Linked DNA regions of Coturnix japonica. The protein of the gene in region 1 binds, or shares a complex with, the protein of each later gene. Links are inferred from orthologs where the notes say so. Each region holds a gene or a part of one and is shown on either strand. Other genes may lie near its edges.

Region 1 (3,560 bases):
CAAATACCAAAGTCATTTATGAGGCATGAAGTATGCTGAATCTGATGCTCAACATGAACATGCTGCCTGGAAACTTTCAAAATATACTGAACATTTTACACCACATTACCAAAGAAACTCAATTACTAAACATATTAACAGCATGTATATAAGTTTGCATTGCCAAAGTAACAACACATTTATTTTTCTGGGCTGATTTTAAGGACTGTTCAATTCTAACACTTCACCATGAGTAATATCTATGTAATTCTTTCAAAATTACCAGTTATTACTTCAGCTATGACCACCTTGCCAATAGAGAGACCAATAACATATAGAATTTCAAAGTAGAAATCCACACTACATTTACACCAATATCCTCCAGTCAGTGACTCATTTCAGCATTGCATCTGTTCTCTTTGCAGTGGTTAGAGTAAAGTATGGAAATGCAGATGGTGAATACTGCAAATTTCCCTTCTGGTTCAATGGGAAGGAATACAACAGCTGCACAGATGCAGGACGTAATGATGGATTCCTCTGGTGTTCCACAACCCAAGACTTTGATGCAGATGGCAAATATGGCTTTTGCCCCCATGAGTGTAAGTAAAAAATTGTTTCTAGTGTTTTTCCTCCTCCTAGACTGTTCCCTTACTTGATTAATCTATCCATTCTCCTTGTACTTTTTTTCACTTCCCTTCTGGTAGATTCAGATCTATTGGTCTTTATGTCTAATGTCTCCACTGTAACTAAGCAGAATCCATTGGTGTAGAAGAGTATGTAGTTGATAATGACCCAGGCCAATTCCTTTCTCTAAAAACAAGAACATACTGAAAATACACCTGAAGTAATGCAGGCTCCATTTGTACATCAAAGATACAAAGGATCAGTCTCACAATCCAGGAACAAACTACATGTTAACATAAGGAGAAGGTCAAATTCAGAGAAGGAGTGCAGTAAACGACAGAAATCTCTCCCTAAATTACAGAACATCTCCTTCAAGAGCAGCAACTGCTCAAGTCTGGCAGTTAGGGATGAAGCCCATTAAGGCAAATTTCTAACCTCACATATCAATTTACTTATTTTAGCAACTGGTAGCTCTTTGTATCATGTTGTCATGCTGCCATTACTTTTTCTACAATACACATTGCATGACTATGATATTTATAATGAAATTACCTGACAGCTTGATCCCCAGTAAACACTGGGAATGCAATCGTGTTCTTGAAATTCTTGATTAATCTACTGGATACAAGATTTCAGACAATTCATTCCTGTACAAGTGTTAATTTGATCTCCCCTATATCACACAGCAGGGAAACTTCAGAGAGGCAATTGAGTATAACTAGCTGCAGCCTTCATAAATCAATGCCATAAGAGAAAAGGACAGAGAAAATAAGGAGCTTTTAACCACTCGCTTTGTTCCAGTACTGCAGTTTCCCATGCTCATTTTTGCCCTTCGTACATAACCAATTGCTGTCAACTTTTGGGAGCAGGCAGTGTTTCATCATTCCTGTTACCTGACATCTGAGCAGTGAGCACACATCACCACTATAACTGTTACTGCTGTGACACAGCAAATAATGGCAGCTATGAAAGAGAGCAAAACAGAAAATATTGGAACTTTTGCTGGACGGATGATAATCCAGCTTGGAACAACAGCACTAAGTTTATTTTCAAGACTGTACACTTTCCAATAGAAGATAATATTTCTTTAGAAGCAAGCTAACAGCTGTCAGAGAAAATCTGTTGCAGAATATAAACAGTCCTTTAGCATTCATTAAAAAAAAGTATGCTTTTCTCTCCAAAAACCTAATTGCCCATTCTATACCATATCTAGAGCTGGGATCTACCATGGTGACAACTATTTGTATGGGCATAGCAGATGAAGAAAAAAGAACATGAACGTTTAACACATTTCAGTTAATGAAGAGATATTACAATTAGCTGCATTCCTTTCAGAACTAGCCTCTTCATTTACTTCAGTAAATGGCACGTGCACACATGTACAGAACTGCACAATCAAATCCCTTCCTCAAACTCTGCTTTTTGCTCTTTTACTCTTTCTCTCCCCACCCTCCCTCAAATCTCCCCTCTCATAGGTTAATCCTTCCAGCTGGAAAAGAGCAGAATTGGGTTTATTTTTCTTAAGATAGCTCAGATGCTCAGAGACTGTTTGAATTAGGCCTATATTACAGGAAGCTGGTCAAACAGACATCTGCACACCATGACCAATACCTTTGTAAAATGCAAAAACCATACAAGACAGAAAATGGGAGCAGTGAAGCACTCTCAGTAGGAGTTGGTTCTGCAATTTGGTGTTCCTGGAAATGCTTGTATCAAGGTTTCTGAAACGGAACAGAACGATTTCAACCTTTTGTTTCTGATGTAATTGTTTCGCAAGATCCTTGAGCAGTTCTGCACAGATGTTTCTTATTAAATTCAGAGCAGCATTGTTTACTCATTATTCCGAGACTCCATTTGCTAAACCCTGCTAATAAATTCAGATAGAGGATTTACATCATACAGCTTATGTTGGAGTCAATATTCCTAATTGTTGGTGTTTGTTTCTGTCTTTTAATTCACCAAAGTTAGGTTCAATTCACCTCAGTATGGCACAGTGCTCATTTGGAAACATCTGCCTTAAAGCTGTAGTATTGCACTAGGCCTTTCTAAAGTACATCTCAGATCTGTACCCTCATTTGTAGGCTAAGAGATCATTTTTAAAGGAAAGTAAGGGAAAGCAGAAAGTTGTCTATGTACTGCACTCATGTTATACAACTGTGTAAAACCTCTCCTTTACCTTATGGGATCAAGGGATGTTAAATCACTCTCTCTACCAAAGTCCACTTACACTACAGGGAGTTAAGACTCCAAATCTTGGCCCTCCGACACCTAACATTACTGCTATCTGTCTTACTCCAGAGCTTTGTACACCAATGAAATACACGTATGCTAACCAGATGGTCACATCACAGTTTGTCGGCTTGAGGTTTAAGTCAATGGGGTTCTCCCAGTTATGCCATCTTTAATATCAAGATCTTGATTCAAGGCAGCAGGTTGTATCAGACCAACTTAGAAAACTGGACAATGTCCTGAATAGGAAAAACAGGAAAAAAAAAACAGGTTTCCTCTGCAACTCCTACAGGCCAAATACTTCTTGCACCAGTCACACTGTAGGCTGTCACTGCAGCTTGACTGCTTTCTCAGGCTGCATCCTCATCTCCTGTAGCTGCAGCCACCTCCACCTTGGGCCTGTGCCACATGGTTTTAGCAGCCTTCCAGCCTGAGGTTTCCTAACATCACCAGTGGCTGATTTTTCTGGGAAGAACTAACAGCACATTGCAGCTCACAGATCAGTTATGTCCAGCTTAAATCTACTGCTGCAGCTGTAGAACTTTACAAATTTTAAACTGTTGAATTTACTATGATGCAGAACAAGAGACAGGCCCTTTTAAGATCTTACAATCCACTAACGTCCTTACTAGTTTGTTCTGGGGAAACTAGTCCCTTTACTTTTCATTCACATCCAAGCAAAGACTTTTCTAGTAATTGTTGGGGATGGAGGGAGGGAATCCTTGAAA
Region 2 (4,298 bases), on another chromosome or scaffold:
GGCCGTGACATCCAGGGCAGGGTGAGCTGAGACGTCACAGCTGCAGGGGATTTCATCAGGATGTTTCTCACTGTGTTAGCTGGTTTTCCTTCCCCTTTTGCATAAATGGTGCAGCAGATGTGTCGGTAACTGACTGCTTGGTCATCATGTTTAGGGGAAGGCCTCATGGGGAGGGTCCCTTGGGAGATACTATGTGCTTTATGCTCCCAGCCTGGCTCACCAGGGCAGGTGGAGGCCCCACAGCCACCATCCTAAGCAGGGTCATAGGGGACGTGAGAAGACAAACACAGCAGAACCTGCCTGGCTGCTCCCCGCAGTGATGTTGGGTGCAGCCTTCTTGCAAACCACACTGCAGTGCCCTCAGTGCACCAGGCTGAGCAGCCACCTAGGAGCTCCAGGCACTGGGGGCAGCTCAGAGCCTGGCTCTGGATGGCTGGGGCTGGACCAAGGGGTCTATTGGTGTCAGCCCCCCTGTGCCACCCCTGCCTGCCCCAGCACTGGTCAAGGACTGATGGTGCTCAGGGCCCAATGGCCCAGCTCTGGGGGGATCTTGCTGTGGGCTGGGGCCTGCTGTGAGCTCAGTGGGGCTGCTCTCTCCCATCCCCCTGCTCTGCCCCTGGTTTAGTGTCCAGCATCTCTGGAGCTCTGCGGAAGGAGCGCACGCAGCTGGACATGTGTTTCTGCTTAGCCCCAACAACAGTGACTCACTGCAGGGCACTGTGCCCTGAGCACACACGTTTGTCTGCCCTGCAGCACAGCCCTGACCCCGCTGCTTGGCCTCGTTCTGCAGACCCTGGGCTGCCGCTGCTCCCTGCCCACACCAGCTGCTGTTACGCTGCTCTGCCCTCACCTGCACCGTGCTCAGCCCAGCCTGGGGACTGGCTTTACAGCACCTATCCCCTCCTCATCCCACACATCGCAGGCCCTTGTGCTCTCCATCCCAGCCCTGGGGGGCTGCTGGGGTTTCATGGCACAACCAGGGCCAGGTTGCAGCATCCCTGTGCCCCCCCAACCAGCCCCAATGAGCACTTGGAGCAGATACCCACTGCCACAGCCTAGAGCCCATTGGCATCTTTCATGCCACCACCCTGCCGTGTTTGTGTGCTCACCTCCCACACCCTGCAGGCTCGTGCAGGGCCTGGACCGGGCTCAACTGCTCACGTTTCAGTTGGTTCTCACCCTAAAGGGTGAAAGCTCTGACACCTCCACCAGGTGTGAGCAGGGCGGACACTCAGATGTGGCTCAGGAGCGGCTGGCATCACCACAGCACTGCTGTCCACACCAACACAGCCTCAGGGACAGAGCTGGGGCTGCCCTGGCTGGGATGATGGCAAAGCAGAGTTGCAGCTGTGCGACAGGTCCAGCGATACCGGCAGCAGATGGGCAGATTTTGGGGGCACGAGGCAGAGACCCGAGGGCAGCGGGTCATCGCAGGGATGCAGAGCCCAGCGAGAGGCCGAGGGGGAGCGGGGGAAGCCAGACGGGGTGGGCGGGGGGGGTGGGTACGGGCGGCGGGAGGAGATGAGCTGGAGGAGCAGGAAGGAGAGGAAATGCTTGGGCACAGACATAATGCGGCCCTCCCTGCAATTTGCCGCTCCGCTCGGATCGGGCCGGCTGCCAGCGCTGTGAGCCGGGCCGGGGTCCCGTATCGCCGCCCAACGCCCGGAGCAGGATCCCGCCCGGTCACCGGCGCTGCCCCGCTCCGTCCCGCTCCGAGGCCCCGCCCGGGATGAACGGCGGAGGAGCCGCGGCCGTGCCGGGATGCGCGGGCGGGGCCGGGCCGGGCCGGGGGGGCTGAGCTCGGCGCGGAGCCGTATCCAGCGAGGGGCGGGAGCAGAGCCGGGCTGGCCCCGTGCCATGCAGAGGAGGAGCAGCGAATCCCCGGAGCACATTAAAAAGCGAAGCTTAGCGGCAGCCAGGGGAAGAAAACACCTCCATAGAAGGCAGCGGAGAGCGGCGGCTGCAGCAGCGCCCTCGAAGCCGCTCGGGGGGCCGCGGCGGCGGATCCAAACTTTCCAGCGGCGGATCGGGGCGGGGGGGGGTGGGCGGCTCGGCCGGGCCCGGCGGTGGATGAGGCTTTTTGGGGCGCGTCGTTGAGCCGCAGCCGCCGCACGATGCCCGGAGCCGCGCTGCCCAGCCTGCTGGCCTGGCTGGCGGTGCTGCTGCTCGGCAGGGCCCGCCCGACCGACGCGTGCAGCTGCTCGCCCATCCACCCGCAGCAGGCCTTCTGCAACGCAGACGTAGGTGAGCGCTTTGTCCCCGCGGAGCCCCGCCCGGCCCCGCACAGCGCGCAGCGCTCAGCCCCCCGACGTGGGGCAGCGCCGCGTAAACTTCGACGTGGGGGCGGCGGGCGGAAAGTTGGCGCGGGGCGACGGGTCGGAGGGGAGAACGGATGGATGGATGGATGGATGGATGGATGGATGGATGGATGGATGGATGGATGGATGGATGGATGGACGGGGCTGCCGCACCGGGCCCGGCCGAGCACCGCAGCACCTGCACGTGTGCGGGGCCCGGGGGTGTGTCGGTGTGTCGTTGGCCGGTGTGTGTGTGTCCGCCCGGTGTGTGCCCGCCTCTCCCGGCCCATCGCCGTGCCCCAGGGCCGGGAGCGGAGCTCGGTTTCTCCCCCGCGTCCCACGGCGATGGGCCCGGCCGCGGCACGTCGGGTGGGAGCGGGACGGTACGTGGCAGCGCGGGGAGCTGACGGCCCCGGGGGAGCGGAGCGCTCCGGTTCCGCTCACAAAGCGGAGCTTTGCCGTAGGGCAGCGGCCTGGAGCGCTCAGCCAGCAGCCGGCCCAGAGCAGCGCCGGGCTCGGTCACCTCCCGTCTGTTCCTTATTTCCAGGCATTTCCTTTCCCCCGTCCCACTTTGTTCGGCTTGGATGCTGCTGAAAGGGAGGGCTTGGCAGCGCCGGGATCTGGATTCCTCTTTCGATGAATAATGCCCTTATTAAATTTTAGCATATTAAACAAACAGACCGGCCCCAGTTCCTGCCGCCCTCCTTGGCGGGGCCGTTCCCAGGCCCAGCTGGAGAGGTAACATTCCCAAGCACTTATGCAGCCCTCTCCCTGCCTGGTCCCCTGCTCTGGATCCAGGATGTGCTGGCAGACCCTCTTTCCCCCCTTCCCCCAACCCTTTCCACCCTGCTTGTGACGTGAGGGTAAATCCCGTAGTGCCCCATTGCTGCCATCCCCACGCAGCTCAGAGCACTGCGGGATGTACTGGGGACGGGGAGGTGCCCACACAAAATGGAGAGCTGGATTTCCAGAGCTGCTGCTGAGCCCAGAGCAGCGGATCTCCCGCAGACAGAGAGGCTGAGCCTCCATCACGCTCACGTCGGGGTCATCCTTCCGGGCCACTCGTGACTCACGCTGCCGTCCCGGGGTGCCGGCTCACCCTTGACTCAGCTGCTGAGTCACTGCTGTCTCGGCATTCCCGGCTGTCTCAGCAGTCCCAGGAAGAGCCAAGCGGGGGCTGGTTGTGGCTGCCCAGCAGGTGTCAGTTCCTAAGCTGTCTGGTCCCGTCTGTGCCATCCCCGATGCCATCACCCCCACTTCCAGCCTGTGTCTTCCTCTCAGATGACGTGGATGGGATTTGTCCGCTCTGATCCCAGCTGGGGATGGTGCTGGGTGCTGGCTGGCAGCAGGGTTTGATCCTGGCAGGAGCTCACAGCCTCCCATGCAACAGGAGCCCGTCCTGCTGCCTCTGATCCCTGCCCTTTGGCTCCTTTCTTCCCTCTGTGCTAGGAGGCTCAAGGCCAGCTCCTCCCCAGCATGGAGCCAGCTTGGGCCTGGGAGCTGCTGCTGCTGCTTGCTGTGCCAGGGCTGCTCCTCTCCTGCTGCTAGCTGCCTTGGGGCCAGGCTGCTGCTGCCACATGGGTCCTTCCATGCAGCCACATCTGCCTGTGCCATCCCAGGGCTCATCTGCTTTTGCTCACACCTGGCAGCCACTGGTGAGGCACCATTCTGTGATCCAGAGTGGGGCTGGAGCCCAGGGCTGTGCTCACAGGCAGCGCCACAGTAGGGTGAAATATGGCTCTGCCTTGGGCTGAGGGTCATGTCACCGTGGCTGGTGACCTGGGGCTGGTGATCCAGCCTCTGTGCTCATGCTTTCTGGCCTGAGAGATGGGCAGCAGTTTTCTATAGGACTTGAAGGCTCACTGGGTTTATGTGTGTGAGGGGTGGCAGTGTCCCTCTGTGGCTGCTGGGGTTTGTTCTGCCCATGCTGCTCAGCTCCCTAGTAGGGATGTGGCTGGGCTGGGGCTGCAGCAGCAGACCATCTCCTGCTTTGCTTCTTGT

What was found. The genes of interacting proteins can lie anywhere in the genome.
Region 2: the proteins of MMP2 (region 1) and TIMP2 are in contact, whole or in part, in a crystal structure (PDB 1GXD), measured with the Homo sapiens proteins. The link is inferred for Coturnix japonica from reciprocal best matches to the Homo sapiens genes MMP2 and TIMP2. Residues at the interface, in NP_004521.1 of Homo sapiens: Trp574, Lys576, Asn577, Lys579, Tyr581, Phe588, Arg590, Lys595, Asp599, Phe602, Lys604, Ile606, Ala607, Asp608, Ala609, Trp610, Asn611, Ala612, Asp615, Tyr636, Leu638, Leu645, Lys646, Ser647, Val648, Lys649, Phe650, Gly651, Ser652; in NP_003246.1 of Homo sapiens: Ile162, Pro163, Cys164, Tyr165, Ile166, Pro169, Leu173, Met175, Val178, Thr179, Phe191, Arg196, Asp198, Ser200, Cys201, Ala202, Trp203, Tyr204, Arg205, Ala208, Lys211, Gln212, Glu213, Phe214, Leu215, Asp216, Glu218.

What each region holds. Positions count from the first base shown.
Region 1 is NC_029526.1:2,825,515-2,829,074, reverse strand, and holds part of MMP2 (72 kDa type IV collagenase), read left to right. Parts: intron 1-404; coding exon 405-578; intron 579-3,560.
Region 2 is NC_029533.1:4,617,386-4,621,683, reverse strand, and holds the start of TIMP2 (metalloproteinase inhibitor 2), read left to right. Parts: upstream 1-1,489; 5' UTR 1,490-2,114; coding exon 2,115-2,244; intron 2,245-4,298. UniProt on the Homo sapiens protein: Complexes with metalloproteinases (such as collagenases) and irreversibly inactivates them by binding to their catalytic zinc cofactor. Known to act on MMP-1, MMP-2, MMP-3, MMP-7, MMP-8, MMP-9, MMP-10, MMP-13, MMP-14, MMP-15, MMP-16 and MMP-19.